3 linked regions of the Oryzias latipes genome follow. The protein of the gene in region 1 interacts with the protein of each later gene in a biochemical or structural test. Links are inferred from orthologs where the notes say so. Each region holds a gene or a part of one and is shown in the gene's direction. Other genes may lie near its edges. The genes, in order: ehmt2, chromobox protein homolog 3 and lig1.

Region 1 (4,021 bases):
ACAAGCCAATAGCAAAACCAAGTCAAGTAAGCCAAGGTAGGTTTGGAACTTTGATGATTTCACTTTATAAAATTCATGTTTAAGATTTTCTGTGTGTGACTGTTCTTCTTTTATGGCTCATGCTTGTGTGCATACCAGACGATGAAGACCTCCCCACGCCTGATGATGCTGAGAAAGCGATGCCCACTGAGGCGGTGCAGTCACCGCTGTCATGCCAGCAAACACAGAGTGAGGGTGGCAGTGTTGCAGAGGATGAAGATACTCTGATCCATGCACCATCAAATAAACCTGCAGCAGGTGAGAATACGCTTCCTCCTGATTTCACCTGGTCCTTGTAAATCGGTAATTTCTTTTATCTGGAAAATAGATCTAAAGGAATTTATGTAACTTGGTCAAAAACTTGCATTTCCTGTCCAAGTGTATATGTGAATCTGAAAAACTGGTCATAGATGATGCTGAATTCTGCTTAATTACTAAAGCAAATTGTTCACTTCTAAAAGAAAATTAATGAAATGAAATTAGCTTAATCTGTATTATTTTTTCTATTCAAAATGAAAAATAATCAAAATGTCCAGAAAAAAAAGGTTGACAAAAAAATCTATAAAAGGCCCCCAAAAACCTGTAATGATAAAGTTATCAGGCTGTGAACTTGATTTTGAACCCAAATTTTATATTTTAGCCTCTTTATGGGATTAATATTCAATCATTGAATACATTGAAATAAAATTCATGTGGCTTTTTTATGTATTATCCCCTTCATGCCTGAATTTATTTCCAGCTATTAAAAAGTTTAATATTTTTTTCTGCTTTCAAGCTGATGCTAAATTAAAGAAATTTTGGAGCAGAAGTGGTTCAATGTGTTTTTGCATCAACAGGCATTTAGGAGTTATATACACTAGATGGATACTGTGACAGATACAGTAACATTTATACAAAGTGCTCTTTTGTTAGTGCATCGTTCATTACTCTAAAACAAGAATATACAATTGTTGGATTTTGTCATCGATAAAAGCTTTTCTCATTTGTCTCACAGGACACGAAGCCAAGTCTCCTACCTCTGCCTCTTCATCACTGGCGTCCTCCGCACCTTTAACGTTGTCCCCTGGCCGAGCAAAGATGAGCGTTTGTGTCCCCACCGGGAGTAAATCCTCTCCTCCACTTGCTCCATCCTCTCCTCCCTTCGCCGCCTCGACGTCTGTCTCCCCGTCTGTTTCTCCCAGCCCACCTAAGATCCACCGGGCCCGCAAGACCATGAACAGACCCCCGTTTGGGCTGGTAAAAGAAGACTGAAGAGTTGGTTTAAATAGCTGCTTTTTAGTAAACATTTTTGTGACTTTTTTTTTGTTTGTTTGTTTCATGTTTTTCTTTTTTAGAACACTGGGTCTGGTGAAGTTGCTTCAGCATCCCAGACCCCGTCAGGATCGCCCTGCCTCACCTCTGAGCCCGAAAGCTGTCAGTAACATTTAAAAGCTTTGGTTTACCTTGAGTTAAAATAAACCCACCTGTTTCATTACATTCATGTTTCTTTATGTTTATAGTGGCCTTAAAAAAGAGGAAGCTGGGTCATGTATCAGGCAGCAGCTGTGAAAACATTCCAGATTATTCTCCAACTGTAAGTTAGTGGTTTTCCCCCTTCCTTAAGTAAAAGTCTCCGTTTTTATTGGTGGGTTGACGTGTATTGTCGATTTGAAATGCAGGAGGAGACGTTGTTTCATAAAAAGGTGGAAACTGCTTTGGCGAAAAGCAAAAGCTGCGTGAGGAAGACCAGGGATGAAGGAGAACAGAGCCAGAGCTCCACTTCATCAGCACAAGATTCTGGAAACGTGTGAAGCTTTGATGCATTCTCCTAAAACCTCGTCCTTTTAATTAAACATCTGGTTTCTCTGTTTTTATAAAAATTAACTTTTGTCCTTTTCGTTTTGATCAGTTTCAAAACGGCGTCGATGCGAGTGAGCGCGCTAATGACACGGAGGATCACGTGAGTAAATTTAAACTCAAAAAATGCAAACAGTTGTGTTTTTAATGCAACATTTACAAATTGCAACAGCTGAAAGGAATAGAGCACTGAAAACAACATAAAACAATTATTCTCTCAAATTAATAATTTGTGACAACTAGTATTTTGGGTGCACCAATTTGTATTTGTGTGCACAAAATAGTACTTTGTGGCCATTAAATATTTTATTTTGTTAGCACTTTGTGTCACATTATAGTATTTTCTTTCTTACAAACTAGTATTTTGTGTTTTCAAACAAGTATTTTGTAGTCACATATGAGTATTTTGTGCTTACAAGTTAGTATTTTGTGCTCACAAATCAGTATTCAGTAGTCACATATTAGTATTTAGTGGGCAATAATTAGTATTTTGAGCTCACACATTAGTGTTTTGTTGGAACTAATTAATGTTTTGTTGGCACTAATTAATACTTAATGGTCAAAAATTTGTATTTTTTTGGGCACAACTTAGTTTTTTTTCATCACAAATGAGTATTTTGTGCTCACAAATTAGTACTACATGGTCACAACTTATCATTGTATTAACATGTGGTCACATATTAGTAGTTCGCACTCACAACATGCTAATAAAATACTCATTTGTGGCTACTAACGATTGACTTGGGGGAATAATTTATCTTTTTTTTATGTCCAAGGCTCCATAGTAAGGGGATCTAATTGATGGTTCACGGTCATCATATCTGTTTTATTTATTGTTGTTTGATGACAATGGTAAATTCAGAATCATAAACCCTAACAGTCTGCCATAAACACAAAAAAAGTGTAGAAAACGTGAAAATCCAGAAACCAGAAAGACTTCTGATGAAAAATTTCGGAGTTATTGATTGTAATTTTTTTATTTAAGTTTCAAAAAATCTTTTACATTTCAGATTTCCAGTTTGTCTTTACATCAAGATATTTGATGACTCTAGAGGAGCGTTAGGATTGGTTGAGTAGTCAAATTAGTTTTTGACCCTTTCTTAATTTTTTTCAGGTTTCCCACCAATGATGGAACAAATTTACACCATCAAATCTTTATTTTGAAAGATATTTCAGTGTCAAACTGCAAACTTTTAAACTTTAGTTCCACAACCCATTGAAGTAAAAACCAGGAGCTGTTAGACTTAGTCCAGGGGAGCAGAATGATAATGATAATGCATGCCAGTGTGCGTTTATCTACTTAAATAACTTGTGATTTTCAGCGTTTGGAGTCGGAAACACCAAAAACCGTCTTGAATGAGGGCGAAGAGTCTTCGTGGTTACTGTCAGGTCGAGACAAAAAGAGAAGCTCGGTTGACTTGGTGGAGATGGAGGACGGTGAGTGGTCTTTTCTGCGCAGCGCGGTTTCATAATCAGTCCTGTTGTTTGTGCTTATGGACCATAAAGAACGTTATTAAAGTGAAACTTAAGTTCCACCAAGGCTATAAAGTCCCACTGCAATCATCTTTTGATTAATTGTCAAAGTGTTCCCAGTGGTCTTTTAATTATAATTTGGCTGCTTTTTGGAGATAATTCATCAAAAATTTACCTCTGAGTTGTGGGCGGGACTGTCAGCACGGAGCAACGCCGCCCCCCTTCCCTTCTCCTCCCCGTTGCTGAGAGCTGGGAGCCCGCCCAGTACATTTTCTACTTCAAACTATGATCCTGATTCAAATCAGAGACTTTTTTTTCCGTCTGCTCCTGTTTCACAACGATTCAAATGAAGAAATACTTAATTTTCATTAAATGTGTCCCCATTATGAGAAAAAAATGCCACAAGAACATGTTAAAAACACTGTTTTTAAACAAATCTTAAAAAAATATCTTCAAGATGCACAACTGTTTTGCATTAAAAGGAGAGGATAAATGATTTTACTGTAGGAATTATTGTTGTGTTGATCCTCTCATATCTCCTGACTGCTCTGCTCTTCTGTTGGTCTTCAGAAGAACAAGCAGACGAATACACCGAGGTTCCTTTGGGTGACCTGGACATCGCAGCTGCCGACAGTCTAACTCTTTCCCCTCCTCCTGGTGGGTTTAGTCTACA
Region 2 (4,706 bases), about 5.8 Mb from region 1:
TACAATAACAAATCTTTTTTAGGTTTTTCCTATTTTCTTGCTAAATAAGTTGTTTGTGGGTATGCAAAAGTGTGCCTTTGATCTAATGACTTTTTTTTTTTTTTTTTAAGTTTGCTGAAGTTGACATTTTCGTGAAAAAATTACAATCACAAACTCTCGGTTTAAATGTTGTTGATTTGGTTTCATGTGCTTTCTGTGACATTTCTATCTGTTTCTGCCATTTCCTGTGTGAGCACATTGCTACATATCTGTTTACTTCAGGATAAAAAAAATACTCCCAAGTTTTCCACTTGATTTATTTAAACTTACATTTCAAAAACCTTTTCCATTTTTTTAAATGAAATTCTACCTCAGGTTTATTTTTTTTTCCTAATCCCTTTTTGACTAATTTGAAAGGTTTGGTGAACTTAAGTGTACTTGTATAATAAAATATTCATTATTACTGTGACCCCAAACAGATAAGCTGTCCAGTTACTTAAAAAATCTATCAGCAAGGCAAGATGTAACCCTTTAAATATTTGTCATTATGCAAAGGGATTGCTATGAAAACTATGGGTTCACAGCTTTACAAAGTCAGCCAAGTGTGTGAAATAATTGTGGAGTGCATGAAGTGACATTTTTCTTTTCCTGGTTTAGCTTAAAGTTTACTTTTCTGTCTCTAAGTTTCGCAAATGTGTGTCTTTCTTGTTTTTTGATTGTTTGCTTGTTGATTGCTGATAGTATGGTTTTTCTTGAAGAATTTAGGCGCTTTTGGGGGATTTGTTTACTCTGAATAAAAAAAGAAAGTGGCATTCTTGTTGTTTTTTCTGATAAATATAAGATTATTGTTCACATTTTATGTGTACCTTTAAGTCTAAGCATTTTTTAAAGTGGGGTGAATGTCTTTCTCCTAACTTAAGTACTTTGCTAGTGCTTTAAGTTTTTATTATTATTATTAATCCAAGTACAACTCAAATCACACCATTTGGCCAGTGCTGTAGTTATTTGGTATTGTCAAAAATGGTAAAGAAGACATTTTGACAAAATTACAATTTTTCTAGCAGAGAATTTTTTACTAACTCGGTTCACTTGGTGTAGAAGATATTGTTCACTATTGCAAATAAAAATAAAAAAATAGAAACATTTGGATTGCAAAAGTGTAGACTGAAGCACAGATCATTTTATTTCGCCTTCACACTTATAGCAAAGGTATTGCTTTAGTGTAACTAAATTTAACAGACAACCTTATATTTATCAAGTAAAGATTACTGAAAATGAATCACTTTACATTTGATAATCACATTGAGACAGTAAATAATTTTCACAGCTTTAAACACTGATACTTAATTTTTTTCACACTCAATCAATACAACTGCACTGACACAATATTGTTTTGTGTATTTGTTATTTTATTTAGGGCTTTATTATTAGGATTCTATGCACCCAAATTCTGTAGATCATTCTATAGCAGGTAAGTTGGTTTGCATAAAATAAACATTTTTTGTAGTATTCTTTAGTAACACGAGTTTATTTTAGCTCAGAAGTCATTTGTAAGCGTCAATATCAAAAAAACTCAAGACATACAGAATATTTAAAACACAAAAACAACTATAAGCTGTTCCTTTATTAGTGAAAACGATAGAAATGTGTCAATGTTTTAAACATGCTGCAAAGCTTTACTCGTGTATTCTCATTTTTCATTTAAAATGAAAAAACATATTTTAAAGATTGTGAGATAAACCGTTATATAAACTGAGAAAAAATAAATGACGTAAAAATAAACTAACAGGACACCGTAGAGTCACAAGTGCTCTAAAGCAAATTGTTTCCTTACGGGCTTCCGTAGCCTACTCGCCTTTTGCGTTTGGCGCGCACCCTCCTTTCTTCATCTGTACATAAAGACAGGCAGTGACCGCGTGGTTGAATAAGTCGTCACCGAGGTCATTTTCTAGGCTTTACAAGGTATGTAAGCTACGTTTACCGGTATTAAATGCTGCATCTCATCTCTTTGTTTTTGAACTTTTTTTCTTAAATAACTAAGACGTAAGGAGTAATTTAAGCTAACTTCTTCATCATAGAAATGAATGCAATGAACCGAACAGAATTTGTATTTGACTCTTCACAGCTCAAGCTTTTTAAGTTTATCAAGCCCGAGTGTTGTATGAATAGTATACTTTTAGTTTTAGACTGTTGATTGTCTCGTTTTGCTATTGCTATTAACTTAACACTAGCACGAACAATCTTTCGTTTTTTTGTTGGGTGTCGATATTGCTGTATTGTTGTAATTATTTGAGGCGTTAAGGTAAGATCTAAAGAAAACACGTTTTTGTAGCATGTTGATGTTCCTTTTTAGTAAAAAGATATAAACAATGGTACCATGGCCTCAAACTGTTTTGGCTACGTTAGCATGTTGGCTAACCCAAAGGACGCTAGTACCATTTACGGAAAACTTGCGGAGTGAACGTGGCCGAGTCGCGTCCGTCGTAAAAAGTTGGAAAAACTAAACACACACATGCTGTACACCTTTATATTTACGGTACAAGCCTTTCTGCTAAATGTGGGTCCTACAGGTGAAGTGGAAAAGGGCAGTTGCGTGATACATCGGCAATTGACTCTCCTTCCTCTTGGTTTTAGAGGCCAGAATGGGCAAGAAGCAGAATACAAAGAGTAAGAAGGACTCACAGGACACGCAGGAAGAGCCAGAAGAATTTGTTGTGGAAAAAGTACTCGACCAGCGTCTCGTCAATGGGAAAGTAGAGTTCTACTTGAAGTGGAAAGGATTTACAGAGTGAGTTAACTGGAGCCTCTCCAGCTAGTTCTTTAGAATGGGGAAGGGGGGTTGGCCTGTTTACTCTGTTACCACATTTTTATGTGGTTAAGGAATCAGACATTTACAATAGATTAGCATGAGCCTTAGATCCAATTTTAAAGTTTTTGTACATTTATACTATGATTCTTAATTTGACCCCTCCCCCTCCTTTAACTTGAGCTTTCATTTAGCTAAAATTAGCCAAATTTTTGGCCTCGATTTTCCTTCTGGCTTATGGGTATACAAAATGGGCTGAATACTTCAGGAAAAGAACAAGACAATTGGCTCGAATGTGGCAAGCATCTGCCCTTTTTCTTTGTTTTCCACTCACGCTGTAACTACCCATATAACGTAAACCAAAATTACAAATAGTTCATTTACATGCAAGAAGACACCAGATTATATGCTTTAGACAATTTTCTCATAACTTGACCAGTCTTGTTATTTTTTAAAGAACACCAGATTGCCCTGATCACTTGATAACCCAGATCATTTGGATCTGATTGGTTTCAGATTGTTCTGAACATGTAGTAAAGTCATTTTTGCATGAAGCTGCTAGTGTTCTCCGCATCCTGTTAGCTTTACATTTTTTTTAAAAGTCATGATTTATATGCAATTGATCACAGCCCTCTTAACTATTTAGTGCTGACAACACCTGGGAGCCGGAGGAGAACCTGGACTGTCCTGAGCTGATTTCTGCATTTTTGGAATCACAAAAGAATATTAAGGAGAAGCCTGCTGCTGTTAAAAGGAAAGCCTCCACAGATGAGCCAGAGACAGAGCCCAAGAAGAAAGACATGGTATGTCACAATGTCATTGCAGTACTTTGAGCTCAGTTCTAATTAGTCATTCTTCCATTTTAAAACTGTTTTCTGAATGTTCATGTGCTTCCACTTTAGGCTGAGAAACCACGTGGCTTTGCCAGAAACCTGGAGCCAGAGCGAATTATTGGAGCAACTGACAGTAGCGGGGAGTTAATGTTTCTGATGAAATGGTACATTTTTATAGAATGTCTCTGACTGTCTACTAGACAGAACCTTTAAAAGATGTTTATGAAATGAAAAAAATTATAAGATAAACATCCCACTTTAAAATCTGGTTCATAGGATTATCATTGTAAAACTCCTCACTACACACTTTATACACTTTTCTCAGACAAACAAACATTTTCACACTTTTCTCTCTTGTTTAAACTCTCAAATAAGACAATAAGTCCAATATTTTAGAAAGCAGACAAAAATCTGGTCACAATGGAAGATGTTTGTAATGGGCAAGCTAAACGCATTTGTACAGGAGACATGGGAGGGAGGAGATGGATGACATGGTCATCAACCAATCAGGATCCAGAGGGCAATCAAAATAAACATGCAAAGATATTTATAAAAATTTGAAGCAGCGATAGATAAACCACAGCATAGGGAGGGGTTAATGTAAAACTTGTTTTAGGTGAGCAGTACAATTTGGCCCAGAATGAAAACTTCTAGTTTGAACGTTGTTCACATTTTCTCTTAACTTCATTGGTTGGTTCACAAAAGAAACATTGTGGAAAGATGTTATTTATTGTGGAATATCATATGACTAATTTTTTTAAAGTAGTTTTATGTTGAATGTTTTTTTTTTCCATTTGTGTAACGCTGTTTAATTTTTTACAGGAAAGACTCCGACGAAGCGGATTTGGTCCCGGCCCGTGAAGCCAACACTCGCTGCCCTCAGGTAGTCATATCCTTCTATGAGGAGCGACTGACGTGGCATTCCTGTCCAGAAGATGAAGCTCAGTAACTGTTGTAGTTTGTGCTGTTCTTTGCATTACCTCTGCTCCTTTCTCAGGACGTTCTGTGCTCCTGTTTCCTGCCTTATCCTTCTAGTTACATGAATTACATAGATTTTTTTTTTTTTTACGCTTGTGTGGTTTTCAATG
Region 3 (4,797 bases), on another chromosome or scaffold:
GTGAGTGCTGCCTCTTTAAATTCCTTACATTAAACAGGTTTTTAATCATTAAGAAGAAGGAGATGCTGTGCATTTATGGGATTCTGTTTAGCCTAAATCTGTGCACATAGAGCCCTTTATGTTCACCAGAAATATCATAAATGTGGAAGCTGGACTGACAGGGAAGCTGTTGTCAATGCAGTAAGAAATAATTGAGTTTCAAAGTGGTACTTATTCACATTTGTGTCACTTTTCTGCCTTGTTTGTGGTTCAGAACCGCCCATACATATGGAAAGTACAATGTTTTCTTTTGGTTTCTGCTTCTATAACTAAATGTTATTCATACTAAAACAGAAGAGCGGTGGCAAGAAGTGATACGAAAGACTAAAATAACCTGAAACTACAGACGTTACTGTTGTCTTTCTTTGATTAGAATACATTTAAATCACCAGCTGACTGTGTCGTCAAGATGAATAGCAGAAGGGAGAATAGAGACCTGTTTTATGACGTTTCTATGACTTTAAATCAACTCAAAATAAACTGGACTTTTCAAGAATTTTAAAGGCTGAGCATAAACGTAGGAAATCTATCTTTGTTTTCTAATTTTTTAATCAATTATCCATTAAAACACTTCCTGTGTCAGTTGTTGCCTTAAGAATCACTTATTTTACTCTGACTGAGCTATTTTTTGATCTGCTTTGTGAAAAAAGAGATTCAACATAATTATCGTCTCTGCCTCCCCCTGACACCTCTGTGGTAGCTGGCAGCTTCTTTTAGGGGTGCAATGAACAATTGCCCTTTGAGCTATTGATTTTTTCCCCCCCATTCTGCCCTCTTACAGCTGTCCAGCCTCTGCCTCACCCCTTCTTACTCCCGTGCCCCCTTCCCAAACCGATCGCAGCTCCTCGAGCCCTCCACGGCACGTTTCCCTTCATCTCCTCGTCTGCGCGCCCAGGGGTCAGCCGGGATGAGCCACGGGAATCGAACTTTATTGCTAACTTGTGGCCTCCGAGGGGCGCTACAGGGTGGGACGTGAGCCCCCACATCCAGCAGGGCCTGTCTGGAGCAGATAAGCTGACGGAAAATCAGAGGGAAGATCAGAGAGTGGAAAAGGAGAAAGAATAAGAAGGAGTTATGGAACTGGACATCTTTCAAACTTATGTTTTTTTTTATTCTTCTTCTTCTGTGTTTGTGATTGCAAATGTACAATCTTTGTAGCTATTTATTCAGTTGAAAGATTCTCCATTTTATTCATACATGCATAGGCAGGTTGTGTATTTGTGTGCTTGTTTGGGTGTTTGGGTGGGCCAAATAAAACTGCACACTCAGCTTACACTATCCAACTATTTTGTCTGATAATTCACCGCCCTTGTTTAAATGTCGTGAACATGACAGGAGCTGCATAAATGATGCAGGAATTTCTTTTTATCGTCTCTGATCATCTCTGCCTGCTGCATGCAGTTACATCTCCGGGACACCAGAGGGCAGTAAGAATTTATATGGTAAAGTTTTTCCTTAGAGCATTTGCCGGGAAAAGCTGAACAAAAAAAGACATCTCACTCTGATTTTCTTTCTTTAAAATAAATTCTTTATACTTTAAAAATAAATGTTTGCTTCCTACAATATTATTCAGTATCCTACACCATCACATGTATTCTCTTTTTTAAAATACTTTTTTTTAGCTGCTAATATTTTATAAACTATTTTAGTGACCTTTTTGTGTCAACAATCCCGTGTCGGATAGTGTGACACGCGCACAAAGTGTATAATTTTTGTCAAATTTACGAATTTGATGTATTTAAGAATTTGTTCTGTTACAGTAATGGGAGCCTGTTTTATTGATGATTTAATGTAATTCTTTAAATTAGATCATTTACACAACGAAAAATCTGAATAATGTGTATGTGGAGGAGTAATACCTCTTCATATTTTGTTGATCTTTGATTAAAATGTGATTTTGGCGCCGAATATTCCAAGTGAGTTTTGTGATTCTGTAGCGCGGGAGTTTGTGTGTTTTTGTGTGGATTTAGGGTTTGTCCACACCTTAACTTGTAGTTTTTGTTCATCGTGAAGTTCAAGTGAAAGAATTTCTGAGAGACAACATGCAGCGAAGCATTGCGTAAGTAAACAAGCAAATGGTCTGCTTCTGTTGAACTCCGTGAACTACTTCTAGGCGTGTTTATGTTTCTGCTCTCGGCTGAGAACCAACATGTTTTAAGATAAAAATGTGCTTGAATGAAGTTTGTGAAACAGTTTGGTATTTCTTATTGAACGCGCTTCCTTATTGAGCTAGCATGCTTTACTAACTTTAAGCTAGCCCTAGCATGATTATCCTTTGCAGGAAATACTTTGAATGTGTTATTAGTTCTGCCTTTTGGCTTATAAACGAACGTTTGTCGTTATAAAAAAAACTACTATCCTGTAGCGTTTATCGTGTGTTAATCGGGACTATCTTGATTACGCCAGAGAAGCTGTACATTTTTTTTGGCTAACGTTTACATGGACGTCACACTCAGTAGCATTTGTTGCAGCTCTTAGCCGTTTCTCTGGTAAGTGACGTCATCCATTTATAACATGTTTACTATTTTCCCCTATTAGATCATTTTTCCAGCCAAAGAGCAAAGATAAGGACATTCAGAAGAAGGCGATCGACGAGCCAGTGAAAAAGTAAGTTTTCCTATGAAATAACATGATGACGTCATTTCTCTTCTGCTATGAATACATTTGAAAAATGAAAATGTTTCCATGTAGTAAAGCAAACTAAACAAAGCATGGGAAATGATTACATTGTTATCATGAGAAGAAAACAGAGCAAACTAAAATAGTGTCATTTATTTTGAAGAATAAAAGTTTTGTAAATTAATGTATTTTTATTGAGGCTACTTTAATCAAATTAGCATCTTCTGCTTTATCCTGACTCCACTTGCTGATCTTTTTAATCTAATCTAATCTAATATAATCTAATATCTATTTGTGTTTCACTTGCATGGAAATGCGCCAAAGTCATTCCATGACCAAAACTTAAATAACTATCGTCCCATTTCAGTGATCAACAATGATTCTAAAGTTTTTCAAAGAACTATTTTTACTCATTTATCCAACGTTCTTGCTTCAAATGACCTCCTTTCTCCACCAGTCAGGATTCAGAAAACACTTTAACACAACTAGTGCTCTTATGAGATTTACCAATAACGTTTATTCACACTATGGTAATAACCTGTGCACAGCCACCATCTTCTTGGACCTCTCTAAATCATTGGACTTGGTTGATCATTACCGTCTTTTGGATAAATCCGTCTTTCTTATTCATCTCTTCTTTGGTTTGAATCTCATCTTCACTGCTGCCGTCAGTGTGTGTCAATTAGTATGGAAGCATTTGTGTAGCATAACTAAAAATAAAAGTCTATACAAGAAATGCTTTTTCATTTTCAAAATGAAGCTGCATTTGTTGACTCAAAATTAAAAAGAAATCTGCCAAGCTACTTTTTCTTCTTCAACACTGCTTATTCTGTCACTTAATTAAAATGATAATAAATTTGACATTTCATTTTCAAAAAGTTCTCTGGTAAAATTCATTTAGAAATGTATAATTTGACAATTAAAATGGATTCACAGAAATGCTTTTTCATTTTACTAAATGCAGCTGCATCAAATGACTCAAAATGAAAATAAAAAATCAATCCTTCAAAATGCTTTTTCATTTCTACTTAAAAACCGCTCATTCTGTGTCATAATTAAAACTAAAATGCAAAGAGAGGATTGCATTTTCATTTTCACATCCACCCTGCAAACATTGTCATATTATTCATTTCCAGTCAGCATTTCCAGGGGGGAGGCGGGGCGATGGTGTCAGTGCTGTCTCTGTCTGTCCTCTTTCAGAGTTTGGAGTTCCTCCACGGTAATGTTTTTAGCACATATTAGCCTAATGCTAACCCGTCTTCCAGGTCCCTGCAACCAAGAAAAAAGCACTGACTGCACAGATTTAAAAATATGAGCGAGCAACAGGCCCTTAATAATAATCATAACTGTAATAAAAGCACATTTAGAAGATCGTCTCCTGCAGCTTCCCACTATTTTTGCTGTTGAATGACAGCTGCAGCCCCATGAACAGCTCTAGTAGATTTCACCAGGCTAAACTTTTGGTGTTTGCTGGTTGAACCAACACGCACTGACGTCATCGCCCCGCCTCCCCCCTGGAAATGCTAAGACAAATTGAATAATGTGACAATGTTCGCAGGGTGGATGTGAAAATGAAAATGCAATCCTCTCTTTGCATTTTAGTTTTAATTATGACACAGAATGAGCGGTTTTTAAGTAGAAATGAAAAAGCATTTTGAAGGATTGATTTTTCATTTTGAGTCAACAAATGCAGCTTTATTTTGAAAATGAAAAAGCATTTCTGGATCTGACTTTTATTCTTAGTGATGATGAAGTGAGTTCCAGGTAAAGCTGTGTGTATAACAGGTTACTTGCTTCTGCTGTTTGCAGATAGAATCTGTGCAATGAGGCGTTTTAGCCAGTGCCGTGGGGTTAAAATCCCACCTCACTGTTCACTGTCTTAACCTCCATCCAAATACAAAAAAATAAGAGGAGCATCCTTAACTTTAGGAGGAAGTTTACTTTAACCTTTAGGAGTACAATTGGCTGTTTTGGTCTATTTTTAACCTTTACATATCCACCTTGTTAGCCTTCTCTTTTGTTGGGATCATTTTCTCAGTACAACCTTACCTGTGTGACTTTTTGTTGTTGCTGTTCTATTGTAGAATTTTTTTAACCGACTTCACCTAAAATCACAGACAAAACCCGATTTATACTATG

Evidence for each region.
Region 2: the proteins of ehmt2 (region 1) and chromobox protein homolog 3 are reported together in a solved structure, tested with the Homo sapiens proteins (2 studies listed by BioGRID, with this or other methods). The link is inferred for Oryzias latipes from reciprocal best matches to the Homo sapiens genes EHMT2 and CBX3.
Region 3: of the proteins of ehmt2 (region 1) and lig1, one has a biochemical effect on the other in vitro, tested with the Homo sapiens proteins (3 studies listed by BioGRID). The link is inferred for Oryzias latipes from reciprocal best matches to the Homo sapiens genes EHMT2 and LIG1.

What each region holds. Positions count from the first base shown.
Region 1 is NC_019869.2:5,427,722-5,431,742, reverse strand, and holds part of ehmt2 (histone-lysine N-methyltransferase EHMT2), read left to right. Parts: coding exon 1-36; intron 37-138; coding exon 139-297; intron 298-1,033; coding exon 1,034-1,275; intron 1,276-1,373; coding exon 1,374-1,452; intron 1,453-1,538; coding exon 1,539-1,612; intron 1,613-1,697; coding exon 1,698-1,823; intron 1,824-1,927; coding exon 1,928-1,978; intron 1,979-3,197; coding exon 3,198-3,312; intron 3,313-3,918; coding exon 3,919-4,005; intron 4,006-4,021. UniProt on the Homo sapiens protein: Histone methyltransferase that specifically mono- and dimethylates 'Lys-9' of histone H3 (H3K9me1 and H3K9me2, respectively) in euchromatin.
Region 2 is NC_019869.2:11,214,870-11,219,575, forward strand, and holds the start of chromobox protein homolog 3, read left to right. Parts: upstream 1-1,809; 5' UTR 1,810-1,941; intron 1,942-2,613; 5' UTR 2,614-2,621; coding exon 2,622-2,767; intron 2,768-3,431; coding exon 3,432-3,588; intron 3,589-3,687; coding exon 3,688-3,782; intron 3,783-4,440; coding exon 4,441-4,567; 3' UTR 4,568-4,706.
Region 3 is NC_019875.2:2,524,271-2,529,067, forward strand, and holds the start of lig1 (DNA ligase 1), read left to right. Parts: upstream 1-1,926; 5' UTR 1,927-2,081; coding exon 2,082-2,098; intron 2,099-2,577; coding exon 2,578-2,646; intron 2,647-4,797. Other genes in the region: ETS domain-containing transcription factor ERF-like, read left to right, coding at 821-1,104.